Oryctolagus cuniculus: one gene and its partners. The protein of the gene in region 3 purifies or fractionates together with the protein of the main gene of each other region. This does not show direct contact. Links are inferred from orthologs where the notes say so. Each region holds a gene or a part of one and is shown on either strand. Other genes may lie near its edges. The genes, in order: BRD8, NR2C2 and JAZF1.

Region 1 (3,641 bases), on a different chromosome or scaffold from region 3:
ATGTCAGGTAAATAAAGACCAGGAAACCTGTACTCTGTGACTAACTTGAAATCATTTGCTTTGGCTTCTAAGGGATTGTGGGTTGTGGGCAAGTACAGGAAGTAGAATAGGTCAGCATGGAAAGGAGAGCTGCAGGGGATTACGGTCCATAGTAGGGGAAGGCTAAGGTGGAAAAATCTTCAGGTAGTCTTTCTCTCCTCTGCAGACTCATTGAAAGAAGAATCAGGGGCTATTTTTGGAAGCCAGATAAAGGTATTTCAGATTTTTCTTTATTCCTCTTGCCATGTGATAGATTTCCCTATAGCACTCCCTTTTTTAATGAATTTCAGTAAACTCACAGCTTTATTCTCTGAGATGAGACTGGTAAGGAGTTGCATGGGGAAAAGCTGTAGTGGACAGTCAGGCATATGGGAGTACATATAATTACTGCACGTGCTACCCATCTGAACATTACATGGTTATTTTCTTGGCATGAAGTATACAAAGAAGCTCTGATGCACCCCAAGTGATTTGGAGTCAATAGGAATACTAGAGCCAGGAAGAAACTATAGAAAATCAGATTTTTTTAGACTATTCAAAGAGAATCATCTGAAGTTTTTATTTTAGAGTTACTAGAGCAGTAATAAAAAAGATTTGAAGTAATGCGATGTGAGCTTGCTCCATCAAATGAGACACGAAGTAAAAACTATTTTTGATAACTTTGTACCCAGGGTCAGAGTTCCTCTCAAGAGCAAGGGGAAAGAAGGAACGCCTCTTAGCTTAGTCTTAAGTAAGTAGCTTTTTTTTTTTCTTCCTTTTAAAAAGATCCTGGATTTTATTCTTTGTCCAGGTTCTAGATTACTTTATTTAGTCAGTGTCTGCTAAGTAGATGGTAGTATGAGTGATAGAGGGCTCAAAGTGTGAGGCCATTTCTAGAGTTGATCTAACCCAAAAGACAGACCATGTTTAATGATGCTTTGCTGGATAGCTTTACGTGCATTTGTTGACCGGAGCACACTGTGTCTAAGGATGCCCCAGGTGAGGATGAGGAAGAAGATGGGGTCAGTGAAGCAGCCAGCCTAGAGGAGCCTAAGGAAGAAGATCAAGGAGAAGGCTATTTGTCAGAAATGGATAATGAACCCCCTGTGAGCGAGAGTGATGATGGCTTTAGCATACACAATGCTACACTGCAGTCACATACACTGGCCGACTCCATCCCCAGCAGCCCTGCTTCTTCACAGTTGTGAGTATTAGAGATTTCTTTGTTTGAGTCCAAGGCAGTCAAGGTGAGAAGTAGGAGAAAATCTTTCCTTTATTTCTTTTTTAATTTTTATTTTTTAATTTTTTTTTTGACAGGCAGAGTGGACAGTGGGAGAGAGAGACAGAGAGAAAGGTCTTCTTTTTGCCATTGGTTCACCCTCCAATGGCCGCCGCGGCCGGCGTGCTGTGGCCGGCGCACTGCACTGATCCGATGGCAGGAGCCAGGTACCTATCCTGGTCTCCCATGGGGTGCAGGGCCCAAGCACTTGGGCCATCCTCCACTGCACTCCCTGGCCACAGCAGAGAGCTGGCCTGGAAGAGGGGCAACCGGGACAGAATCCGGCGCCTCGACTGGGACTAGAACCTGGTGTGCCGGCGCCGCAAGGCGGAGGATTAGCCTAGTGAGCCGCAGCGCCGGCCACTCCGCCTTTCAAATCAATAAAATAAAATAAAATAAAAAAACAGTAAGACTAAAGAAAAGATTTTTGGCCAGCGCCGCAGCTCACTAGGCTAATCCTCCGCCTTGCGGCGCCAGCACACCAGGTTCTAGTCCCGGTCGGGGTGCTGGATTCTGTCCCGGTTGCCCCTCTTCCAGGCCAGCTCTCTGCTGTGGCCCGGGAGTGCAGTGGAGGATGGCCCAAGTGCTTGGGCCCTGCACCCCATGGGAGACCAGGAGAAGCACGTGGCTCCTGGCTTTGGATCAGTGCGGTGCGCCGGCTGCGGCGGCCATTGGAGGGTGAACCAACGGCAAAGGAAGACCTTTTTCTCCGTCTCTCTCTCTCTCTCACTGTCGAATCTGCCTGTCAAAAAAAAAAAAGAAAAGAAAAGAAAAGAAAAGAAAGGCGGAGTGATAGAGGGAGAGAGATATCTTTGATCCTCTGGTTAACTTCCCAAATGTGGCAACAGGTGGGGCTGAGCCAGGCTGAATCCAGGTGCCAGTAACTTCATCCCAGTCTCCCACATGGGTGCAGGGGCCCAAGTACTTGGGCCATTTGCTGCTTTCCCTCCCTGGAGCATTACCAGGCTCAGCAGTGGAGTAGCCAAGACTCGAACTGGCACCCATATGGTTGCCAGTGTTGCAGGTGGTAGCTTAACCTGCTATGCCACATGCCAGCCCCCTTTTCTTTAATCTTATTTTCTCATCTTCCTATTCTTGGCCTGGAAGAAATAACTGACATGAAATAATTAGGGCTTTTTTTTCTTTCACCTTGCCTACTGATCTGTGTGTCTATTTCAGTTCTGTCTGTAGTGAGGATCAAGAAGCTATTCAGGCACAGAAAATATGGAAGAAAGCCATCATGCTTGTGTGGAGAGCGGCAGCTAATCATAGGTGAGTGGCTTTACCCATCAGTAGGTTCATTCCCTCCTGGTCCTCCTCTTTGTAGATGAAAAGAAAGCAGTCTAAGTAGGCTTCTGTGGGACTGTTGGTGGTGTCTCTACCTACCTTTAGCTACTTGATCTAAGTTCCTTCCCATGTGCATCTGTTTAGTAATTGCATGTTAATTATTTTCGGACAGATATGCGAATGTCTTCTTACAGCCTGTTACAGATGACATAGCACCTGGTTATCACAGCATTGTACAGAGGTAAGCCATGCTCTGCTGACTTGCCTGAATTATAAATTGTCCAGTCTTAGTGAATTTTTACTTTAGATCTAAGTACAAAGGTAGATGTTGTGGCATAGTCTGTTAAACTGCTGCTTGAGACACCCGTATCGCGCATATTGCAGTGCTGGTTTGAGTCCCATTCTTCCGCTTCCAATCCAGCTTACTGCTGATGCACCTGGGAGGCAGTGGATGATGGCCCACGTACTTGGACTCTTGCCATCCATGTGGGAGACCTGGGTGGAGTTCCTGGCTCCTGGCATTGGCCTGGGCTGTCCCCAGCTGTTGTGGGCAATTGTGGAGTGAACCAGTGGATGCAAGATTTCTCTCTCTGTCTTAAGTGCATGTTTTGGAGTGGGGGCTTGGCATTTGTGTCCTAGCAGCTAATAATGAAGGAATAAGGTATATGTAAGAAAGTTTATCATGTATTATCATGTTTATCATTTATTCAGAGATCAGGTGAGTCCTTTTCCCACTTCTGCTGCTCTTTACTCCTCTTCATTTTTTTAGGCCTATGGATTTATCAACTATTAAGAAAAACATTGAAAATGGACTGATTCGCAGCACAGCTGAATTTCAGCGTGACATTATGCTGATGTTTCAGAATGCTGTGATGTACAATAGCTCAGACCACGATGTCTATCACATGGCAGTGGAGATGCAGCGAGATGTATTGGAACAGATCCAGGTACTTCACGAATCCTTTGTGTTTTGGGAAGAATGAAGTGAAAATTCTCAAGGAAAGGTGCTGTGGCTTTTATTCGGAATAGCCACTGGGGACATAGTTAGAATATTTTG
Region 2 (4,096 bases), on a different chromosome or scaffold from region 3:
AAATTACCAACAATTCATCCACTCAACAAATAGTGTCAGGCATTCTACTAAGTGCTGGATACACAAAAGTGAGCAAAAACGATTCCTGCTCTCCTACAACTTACAGTGTGGTGAGGACAAGACAGTCATCAAACACATAACAGAGCAGGTACTTACTAAGTCAGAGAGGGTTATAGAGAAACAAATATAACCTAAAGAAACCTGACGTGGACTGGCAGGGAGAATCAGGGGGCACTTCCCTTAGGGGAAGGGATGCTGACCAGATCTGCAGGCCCAGGTAGGTGGCTGGCGTTTTCAATATTTTAGGGCCAGGGAACCGCAGTGTGAAAGAGCCTGTGGTGGAGAGTAAGCCACACTGACATGGAGGTTAGTTGGGCCAGAGTGTCCAGCGCACAGGGAGCTAGGGATACAGGGCTAGCAAAATAAAGACCAGTGCTGGGAGGGTTTCTGAATATGGAGCAGGAAGAGGGCCTTTACCATCACAGGGGTTGCAGCAAGACTTGAATAACGTAATGCCTTTAAAAAAAAGTTATGAAAAGCACCCTACTCTTGGTTAATGCTCTTCTGTTCCACTGCTTTGTTTTCTAAATAAATTTTTGGTCTGGACGCCAAGTGAATGACTGAAAAGCGTTAAAGGCAGAATCCAATGACATAACCCTGTTTTTGCCCCCATACCACCCTGCCTACAATTTCTTCCATTTAACAAGTTCAAAATCTGCAGCTGACAACTAGTACTTCATAATGACAGTAATTCCAACTACTTACTGAGTATTTACTATGTGCCAGGCACTTATTTACATTAACTTATTTAATCCTCAACTGTAGAAGAAAGGTTTTATTACTGCACAAACAAGGATAACAAGGTTCAAGAAGGTTAGAGAACTTACCCTAAATCACACTGCTAGCAAATGTTGGAGCTGTTAGGTTAATTACACCATTACTGAACTTCCCCTTTAAACATTTTAGGTGTGCATGTATGTGCACAGATCTGTATCAGTACGGAAGGTGGGGGCACGGAAAGGAGCAGAACGCCTAGGTGTGGAGTCACACTGACACAAGTTTGAGGATCAGTGTCTCAGTCACCTTTACATTCCGGGCGCAGCGCATAGTGCCTGGGCTATCAGTGGGGCTCAGAATTGAAGATGGATACAAAGGACTTCCACCTGGAAATAGTGGCTTTCTGACACCAGCCATTCACTTGATGGCTGTATTTTCCTGGAACGTCTTCTTTTTAATGATTAAATCGCAGATCTGGGCTGCATTACCTTTGTCACATTTCACAGACATTAGCCAGGAGGCAGAGTGGGATGACAGCAAGGGCAGCGAACAGTTCCAAACACTCTCCGGCCACAACCCGCATCCACCGCTTGCCCCGGGGTCTCCACTGCTTCCCACACGAGTCCTCCCCTGAGCATCCCAGCCAAGTCGGCCCCCGGGCCTCAGGAGCACATCACCCACTTTCCCTTCATCACGGTTCACGCCCTCAGTCCCCAACACCAGGGGGGCAGGACCGTCGTCCAGCTGCTGTCTGGAGGCATCTCCAGCGCCTAAAACTAGGTGAATGCGTCTGTAATAAACGAACGAGCAGACAATCACCTGGGAACCGCGTTCTCAAGCCCTTACGCTCCGCACCCCTGGCGGCTCCACACCGCATTTTAACAGGAACACCATTTTTACATCACGGTGCGGCTCGAGAAGCGGCCTGGACTCCATTTTCTGAGTCGAGTCCCTTAAACAATACTGCGAAGGGAGGTCCGCCCTGGCAAGAACGCCCACCATCCTCATTTTACAGGCTACGAAACGGAGGGCCTCGGAAAGAGAGATTCGCCCAGGGTCAAGCTGAAAATCCGGGTAAGAGCCTGGGATGGCGTCCGAGTTCCAAAACGCTCTTTGACAAGAGATCGCGCAGTGGATTCCCAAAGCTTCAAAGGCTTAAAAATGATTGTTCGCCGCCATCCATTAGGCGCTAGGTGCAGGCCCAGCGAAACCGCCCCCTCGCCCACGCCGGCGCCCAGCCCCTCACTCAGGCCGCGCCCCCTGCGCCCCGCCCCCGGCCCGGCCCCCGCCGCCCCGGCCTCACGCCGCGCCCCGGCCAGGTCTCCCGCGCCGCCGGGGGGCCGCCCCCTCCCGCCCGAGCCAATCAGCAGCGGCCCGGGGGCGGCGCCACGGGGCTCCCGGCCCTCCTATCTGGGCACCAATTGGCCGGCGCAGACGTCGCTCACGAGGTCGCGCCCTGCACTCGCCTTCCTCCTCTTCCTCCGCCCTCCCCTTCAGAAAACACGGCGGTTGGGCCGGGGCGGCCGCCAACTGCAGGCGGGAAGCGGCGGGGCGAGCGGCCGGGGAACGAGGGAAGGAGGGACTGCAAGGAAGTCGAGGAGGATAAAGAGGAGGAGGAGGGGAGGCCGGCCCAGCCGGAGCTGTCTCTATCGAGAACAAAATGGCGGCGCTGGCGGAGGGCCAACTGTGAGGCGGGGCCGCGGCCATTCCCCCTCCGCCCCCACCCTCGCGCCGGCCGGGCCGGTCAGGGGGAGCCCTCTCGCTTCGCCCGGCCGCGGGCGGGGAGGGGAGGGGAGCGGCCCGGCCCACTATGCAAAGCGCCCGGCGCCGCCGCCGCCGCCCCGTGGCAAAGGTAAAAGGGTCGGGTTCAGCCGCCGCCGCGGCGCCTCCATGTCCGCGCGCCAGGCCCGCCCCCTCCGCCGCCGCCGGCCCGAGCCCGCCCCGACCCCCTTTTCGGTGTTACCTCAGGATTTGGCGCCACAGCGGCCTGGAAGCAGGTCCCGTGTCGGCGGCGGGCGGCCCCCGGCGCGGAGGGCAGGGCGCGGCGAGGCCGGGCTCCCGGAGTCGGCGGATGGCGGGAGCCCCGGGGGCCGCGGGCTCGCGGGGGCCGCGGGCGGGAGGCGACGCCGAGGTGGAGGCGGGGGCGGGCCCGGGGGCGCCGCCGGGGTCGCGGGGAAGGAGGGGTTTGTTATTGTTTTTGTCAGTGAAAGGTCAGAGTTCGTGACCCCGGTGCCGCCGCCGCCGCCGCCCGCGCGCTGGGAGGAGGAGGGCGAATGTTCTTCTTCCTCTTCCCAGCGCCAGCCTCGCCGCGGCGGCGGGGGGCGGGCGAGCACGCGATTGGCTGAGGCGCGCGCGCGCACCGGAACGCCGCGGCCGGCGCTCGGGCCATCCGGCCCGCGGGCTGCGGGCTGCGGGCCGCGCCTCGGCCGCCGGGCCCTGGGTGGCGGCTCCCGGCCCCCGGCCCGCGGAGCCCGCGGACGCCGCGCGCCGCTGCTCGGGGGCAGGCCCGCCCCACGCGGGACCGCGAGCCGCGCGCGGCGGGGCGGGGCCTGCTCGCCCGGGACGGCCTCCGCGGAGCTCGCCGCGCCCCGGTGAGGGAAGGAGCGGGGCCCTCGCCGCAGAGCGCCCGAGGTCGGCGGCGGGTGTGGGCCTCCCTGTTGGGGCTTCGAAGGTGCAAGGGAGCGGTGTCGGGTACGGTGCGGAAAGGCCCGGGCCGAGTCGGAGTTGGAGCTCGGGGGCCGCCTCGGTGTGCGGACAGCAGGTCCGAGCGAGAAGGCTGCCCCCCGGGCCTCCCGGGGCCCGCGGAGCCCCCAGGTTTTCCCCGGTGGCGACTTGCCTGGGAGCTGCAGCACCCTCTGGGCCGGGCTGCGCGCGCCTCGTCGCCCGGCGTTGTAGGCCGCAGATTCTGTGCTAACGGGTTTCTCCCTCTGCGTGTCTCTTACTGGGAAGAAATACTTAGACTGATGGGTTAACTTGTTTTCTTAGCAGTTCCCATATGGCGTTTTTATCAGCATGGTCCGCCCAGCGTTGGGGATTTTGTCCGTAAGCTTATAATGATGGTTGGATAGGAACTGTTCAAAACGCAGCTGTTGGCCTTCTCTCCTTGTTGTCACCTTTCAAAGTGGGCAAAAGAGCTGCGTTTGTGTAGTGTTAGGGGAACCACAGACACTGAGGCCGGAAAGGCTCCTCTCTCTGGAAGATTTTCACCGTTGTGTAGGCCGTGAGCCCGAGGTGACAGTACTCTGAGAAACTTGGAAACGTGCACTTTGAAGAAATGTTTTTAGTGTTAATGCTCCCAGATAGAGTGTTCAGTGTAAGA
Region 3 (4,110 bases):
TTGTCTGGCCTTGGCCCTCATCTCCTGCCAACTGGGCCTCTGGCTCATTATCAGGCCCACCAAGGCCCCACCCCCAGCCTCACTTGGGCCCAGGAAACCGTTCTTGGCACCAAACCGAAGGCCAATGACACACTTGCCCCAGCCCCATCCGACTCTACTGCTATCGTAGAGCCGGTCTGTCACCTTGTGAGCTGGAAGACACACGTGCTGGGCCACAGGAGGAAATGCCGGGGGTGAAGAAACAGCCCCCGTGGCTGATGGCCATGGTCAGACTGAGAAACTCTGCAGGGACAGCATTACCACCCGTGTCTTCATTCAAACACTCACATGAAAAACCTCAACAACTCCTTTATTAGATATAACACTGGAGATATATACATGGTTCGCGAGGGGGATCCTGTTTCCCTATGCTTCTCACCAGAGGGTAAGTGAAATCCATCCTCAGACAAAGTGCTATATTCAGAATGCATGTATCAAAAAATGCACCTGTTGGATCATCAGCTGCTGCTGTTGTGCCTTGTTTCTTAGGCACCTGGACCAGTGCTACTGGAGAACACACATTTGTCAGGTAAAAAATTCGACTGCACCTGGCAGTGGGGACTAGAAGGTAACAGCTTCTTAGCAAAATGCTGGTGTCGGGGAAGCTATTAAATTCAGCCGAGGGCTTAAGCAGTCAACATCAGGGTTTCAATGTTCACAAGACTGGCGTCTTGATTGGAGGAGTCTCTTCACCTGTAAGTGAGGCGCAAACATGACCCTTGACCCTGCGTGCACTCCGATGGCTCAATCACGGGACTTGGGGCAGGGTGGTGGGCGCAGTGTGGTGCCGGAGTCGGGGATAATGACATTATTTCAGCTCTTGTTTTCATCCAAAGGGGCAGACAGCCTTGGTACATAGGTAAAACCCAGTCAAATACACTTGACAACCAAGCACTCTATTTTGAAATTTAAATAAAGCTAAGATTTTCTTCTGGCCTAGAGGGAAGGTTCATTAAAATCAATTAGTCGGTACAAACCTCCAGAGAATACGGACTTTTTTTTAAAGAAGGTTTAAAGAATAAGGTGCACACAATTACCTTTCTCGGGGTCCCCCCCCGCCGTGACTGTCAGGGTCGCACCTAGACAGGTGGCCCCAAGCCCAGGTCCCTGAGAGCTAGCTCCCAGCTGGGCACGAGGTGTAATTAACAGCTGGGTGTGTGTGCGTGTGTGTGCGTGTGTGTGTGTCTCGGGCGCGCCGCGTCCACGGGCAGCCGGGCTCCCGACAGCCTGCACATATGACAGCCCGAGCCCCGCAGGCCGGCGCGGCACAGTCGGCGGCGGGCGCTGCCAGGTGAGGCCGCGGCCCGGGCGGAGGTCGGGGCCGCACAGCTGTGGCCGCGCGCCCGGCTCCCTCCTCCCAGCGGCCGCGGCCTCTCCCCTCCCCCCGCCGCTCCCGACGCCGCCGCCGCCGCCGCCGCCGCTCCCCTCCGCCTCCCGGTGGCTCGGCGCTCTCCTGCCATCGCTCTCGCCCCCTCTCCCTCCGTCCCGTCCTCTCCGCTCCCCTCTGCCCGCCTCTCTCCCCCTCCCCCAGCCCCTCCTCTCCTCACCCCACCCGGCCTCCTCCCTCCCTCAGCCCGCCCGCCCGGCGCTCGCAGAGCCGACACCAGGGGGGCTCTCGATGTAGCACCATGACAGGCATCGCCGCCGCCTCCTTCTTCTCCAATACCTGCCGCTTCGGGGGCTGCGGACTCCACTTCCCCACCCTGGCCGACCTCATCGAGCACATCGAGGACAACCACATCGGTAAATGGCTCGGGGGTGGGCGGGGGTGCCGGGCGCGCGGAAACTCCTGCCCGGGGCGAGAAGCCCCAGAATGGCCAGGGCTGGCCGGGAGGGGGGAGGCGGCGGCGGTGGCGGTGGCGGTGGTAGCGGCGGCGGCGGCGGGGCGGGGAAGGGGTGTGCGAGTCCTGGGGCGGGGGCGGCGGGATGCGGAGGCGCGGGTGGGGGAGGGGGCGGGCGCCCTGAGGTGCCGCGGGCGGGCCGGAGACCCGGCGGGGCGTGCGCGAGGGCTGCCGCGGGGTGCGCGGCGGCGGGGATGCGGCGGCGGCGGCGGCGGCGGCGGGGCCGGGCGCCGGGGAGGGCGCGCGGGGCGCGGCGGGCGGGCGGGCGGCCGGCGCGGGGCTGGGGCGCCGAGTTAGTTGGCCCGGGGGGCGGGCGCTGCACGCCGCCTGCCGCTTCCGCCCCGGCTCGAGCTGTCAGGGCTCGGCGGCGGCTGCAGCGGCCGGGAGGTGGGAGCGGGGCGGGGGGGGGGGGGCGGGGGTGGCTCCACCGCGGCAGCCATTCCGCTTCCTCCTCCCACCGCCGCCGCCACTGCGTCCTGTCAGCGCCGGTTGCTAGGTGTGGTGTTGCGGGCGGGGGGCGGACCGGGCGCTCGTCCTCGCCTCGGGGCGGCCGCAGAGCTGTGCCGGCCGGGTCCCGAGTCGCGGGGCCGCAGGGCGCCCACCCCTGCCCTGGCCTGGCGCGGACGCCGGGGCGCTGCGGGCTGAGGTTCCGGGTGTGCCCGCGGGCCGCGCCCAGCGCCGCGGGGCCGGGTCGCCGCGGAGGCCCCTGCGGCTGCGTTCGCTGGAGAGCGGCCCCCTCCCCGGGGCCGGCCAACGGGCTTTTCGATGCGCCCCGGCTCTGCGGTTTGCCCTTCCCATGGCGCTAGGCCCGAGGTGCGCCGGCTGCGCCCGGGGATCGGCGGCGGCCTGCGCGGCGCCCCGGACGCGGGGGACGCGTGGTGGGGGCGCCCCGCCGGGCGGCTGCTCGCCCTGCACGCCCGGGACCCCGGGGCCTTCCAACAAGTCCTCGAACACCTTGACACGTTTCTGTCCCGAGCCGCTGCGAAGGGAGATGGGTTGGGTTGGTGTGGCCCTGGCGTTCCTGCCACCTGCGAAGGTGTGGCCAGCGCCTGGGAGTTGTCCTGCGAGGCCCGGAAGGTGAAGGGGCCACAGAGGTGCCTCGTGGGGCTGTCAAATCCCGAGGACCGGTGATGGCCCCCAGACGTCCAAATGAACGCCATAGATTCATGCATGTGGATGCAGCTCACGTTTCTACAAAGTTGAGCGGGTAAATCACGACCACTGTGTATTTATGCACGAATAAAAGGAGGCAGAGTCCCAGGTTCCATAGCTTAGTATAATGCTGTCTGTGCACAGAGTGGGTGCCTAATAAACGTTGAATGCGATTAGGTGGGCCATCAGCAATAGGAAATATGTCTGTAAAGATGGTTCTTCGAGAGAGAATTCTGATGAGTAATTGTCCAGGCGTTGAAACTTTCAAAGTTTAAAGCAGGGCCCTGTAATTGTTCTTCTATCTCTGTAAGGTGTGACGGTGGGGGTAGGCAGGTTCTGGTAGTCTTAGAAGCAGTTTAATGGAGAAACAAATTTGCTGATTCATATCATGATTGAATAGTCATAACTGAAAGGGCTTGTACGGATAAATCGTTTTCACGATGCCTGGTTTAAAATAAAGCCAAAACTCCAGTAAAATGCAGAGTTCCAGTAGAAATTTTATGAGTTCAAGCCTTCCCCTATACCTAGTAATAAAATAATAAGTATAAATAAATATATATTAAATAAATGTACCTGAAAAGTATAAACAAACATCTCCTAGGTTGGAGAAAGCTGTCATAGCATATCCATTCATTCTCACTAACAGTTATTTCAGGATAAACTATAGTTTATGTAAGTTGAGTAATAATTTTACCTCATTGACTGCCTGGTTGGACTAGCTGGTTAAAAGAAAATAGAAATTAGATTTATTAACATATTTCAAAAACAGTTATCCTTCTTAAGGATTTAGTTCATCATCAGTTAGATGATTTAAAACCAAAAAGAGGTTTTTTTTTTAAGTTTGCAGACATTGTCTTTTTATTGTGCAATTTTTAAGAGGGTTAAGGGTTCCGTAAATTTTCTAAAACTCGGCTTTTAAGTACTAGTATCTCACTCCCAAAGGGCTAGTGTTTTTCTTTTAATAGAGAAAACATTGGGAAACTTAAATTTATAATGATAGCTGTGGCTTAGGAGAACTGTATGATAGGGTTATCAAAGACTACACCTCCAAATAGTTTGAATCAGCAAACTTTATGAC

The links.
Region 1: the proteins of JAZF1 (region 3) and BRD8 purify together in Homo sapiens (affinity purification with mass spectrometry; 3 studies listed by BioGRID and IntAct, with this or other methods). This does not show direct contact. The link is inferred for Oryctolagus cuniculus from reciprocal best matches to the Homo sapiens genes JAZF1 and BRD8.
Region 2: the proteins of JAZF1 (region 3) and NR2C2 purify together in Homo sapiens (affinity purification with mass spectrometry; 4 studies listed by BioGRID and IntAct, with this or other methods). This does not show direct contact. The link is inferred for Oryctolagus cuniculus from reciprocal best matches to the Homo sapiens genes JAZF1 and NR2C2.

The regions. Positions count from the first base shown.
Region 1 is NC_091437.1:25,975,948-25,979,588, reverse strand, and holds part of BRD8 (bromodomain-containing protein 8), read left to right. Parts: coding exon 1-7; intron 8-205; coding exon 206-252; intron 253-1,007; coding exon 1,008-1,222; intron 1,223-2,476; coding exon 2,477-2,569; intron 2,570-2,756; coding exon 2,757-2,825; intron 2,826-3,353; coding exon 3,354-3,531; intron 3,532-3,641. UniProt on the Homo sapiens protein: May act as a coactivator during transcriptional activation by hormone-activated nuclear receptors (NR). Isoform 2 stimulates transcriptional activation by AR/DHTR, ESR1/NR3A1, RXRA/NR2B1 and THRB/ERBA2.
Region 2 is NC_091441.1:113,808,884-113,812,979, reverse strand, and holds the start of NR2C2 (nuclear receptor subfamily 2 group C member 2), read right to left. Parts: upstream 2,880-4,096; 5' UTR 2,741-2,879; intron 1-2,740. UniProt on the Homo sapiens protein: Orphan nuclear receptor that can act as a repressor or activator of transcription.
Region 3 is NC_091447.1:19,742,493-19,746,602, reverse strand, and holds the start of JAZF1 (juxtaposed with another zinc finger protein 1), read left to right. Parts: upstream 1-1,239; 5' UTR 1,240-1,667; coding exon 1,668-1,782; intron 1,783-4,110. UniProt on the Homo sapiens protein: Acts as a transcriptional corepressor of orphan nuclear receptor NR2C2. Inhibits expression of the gluconeogenesis enzyme PCK2 through inhibition of NR2C2 activity.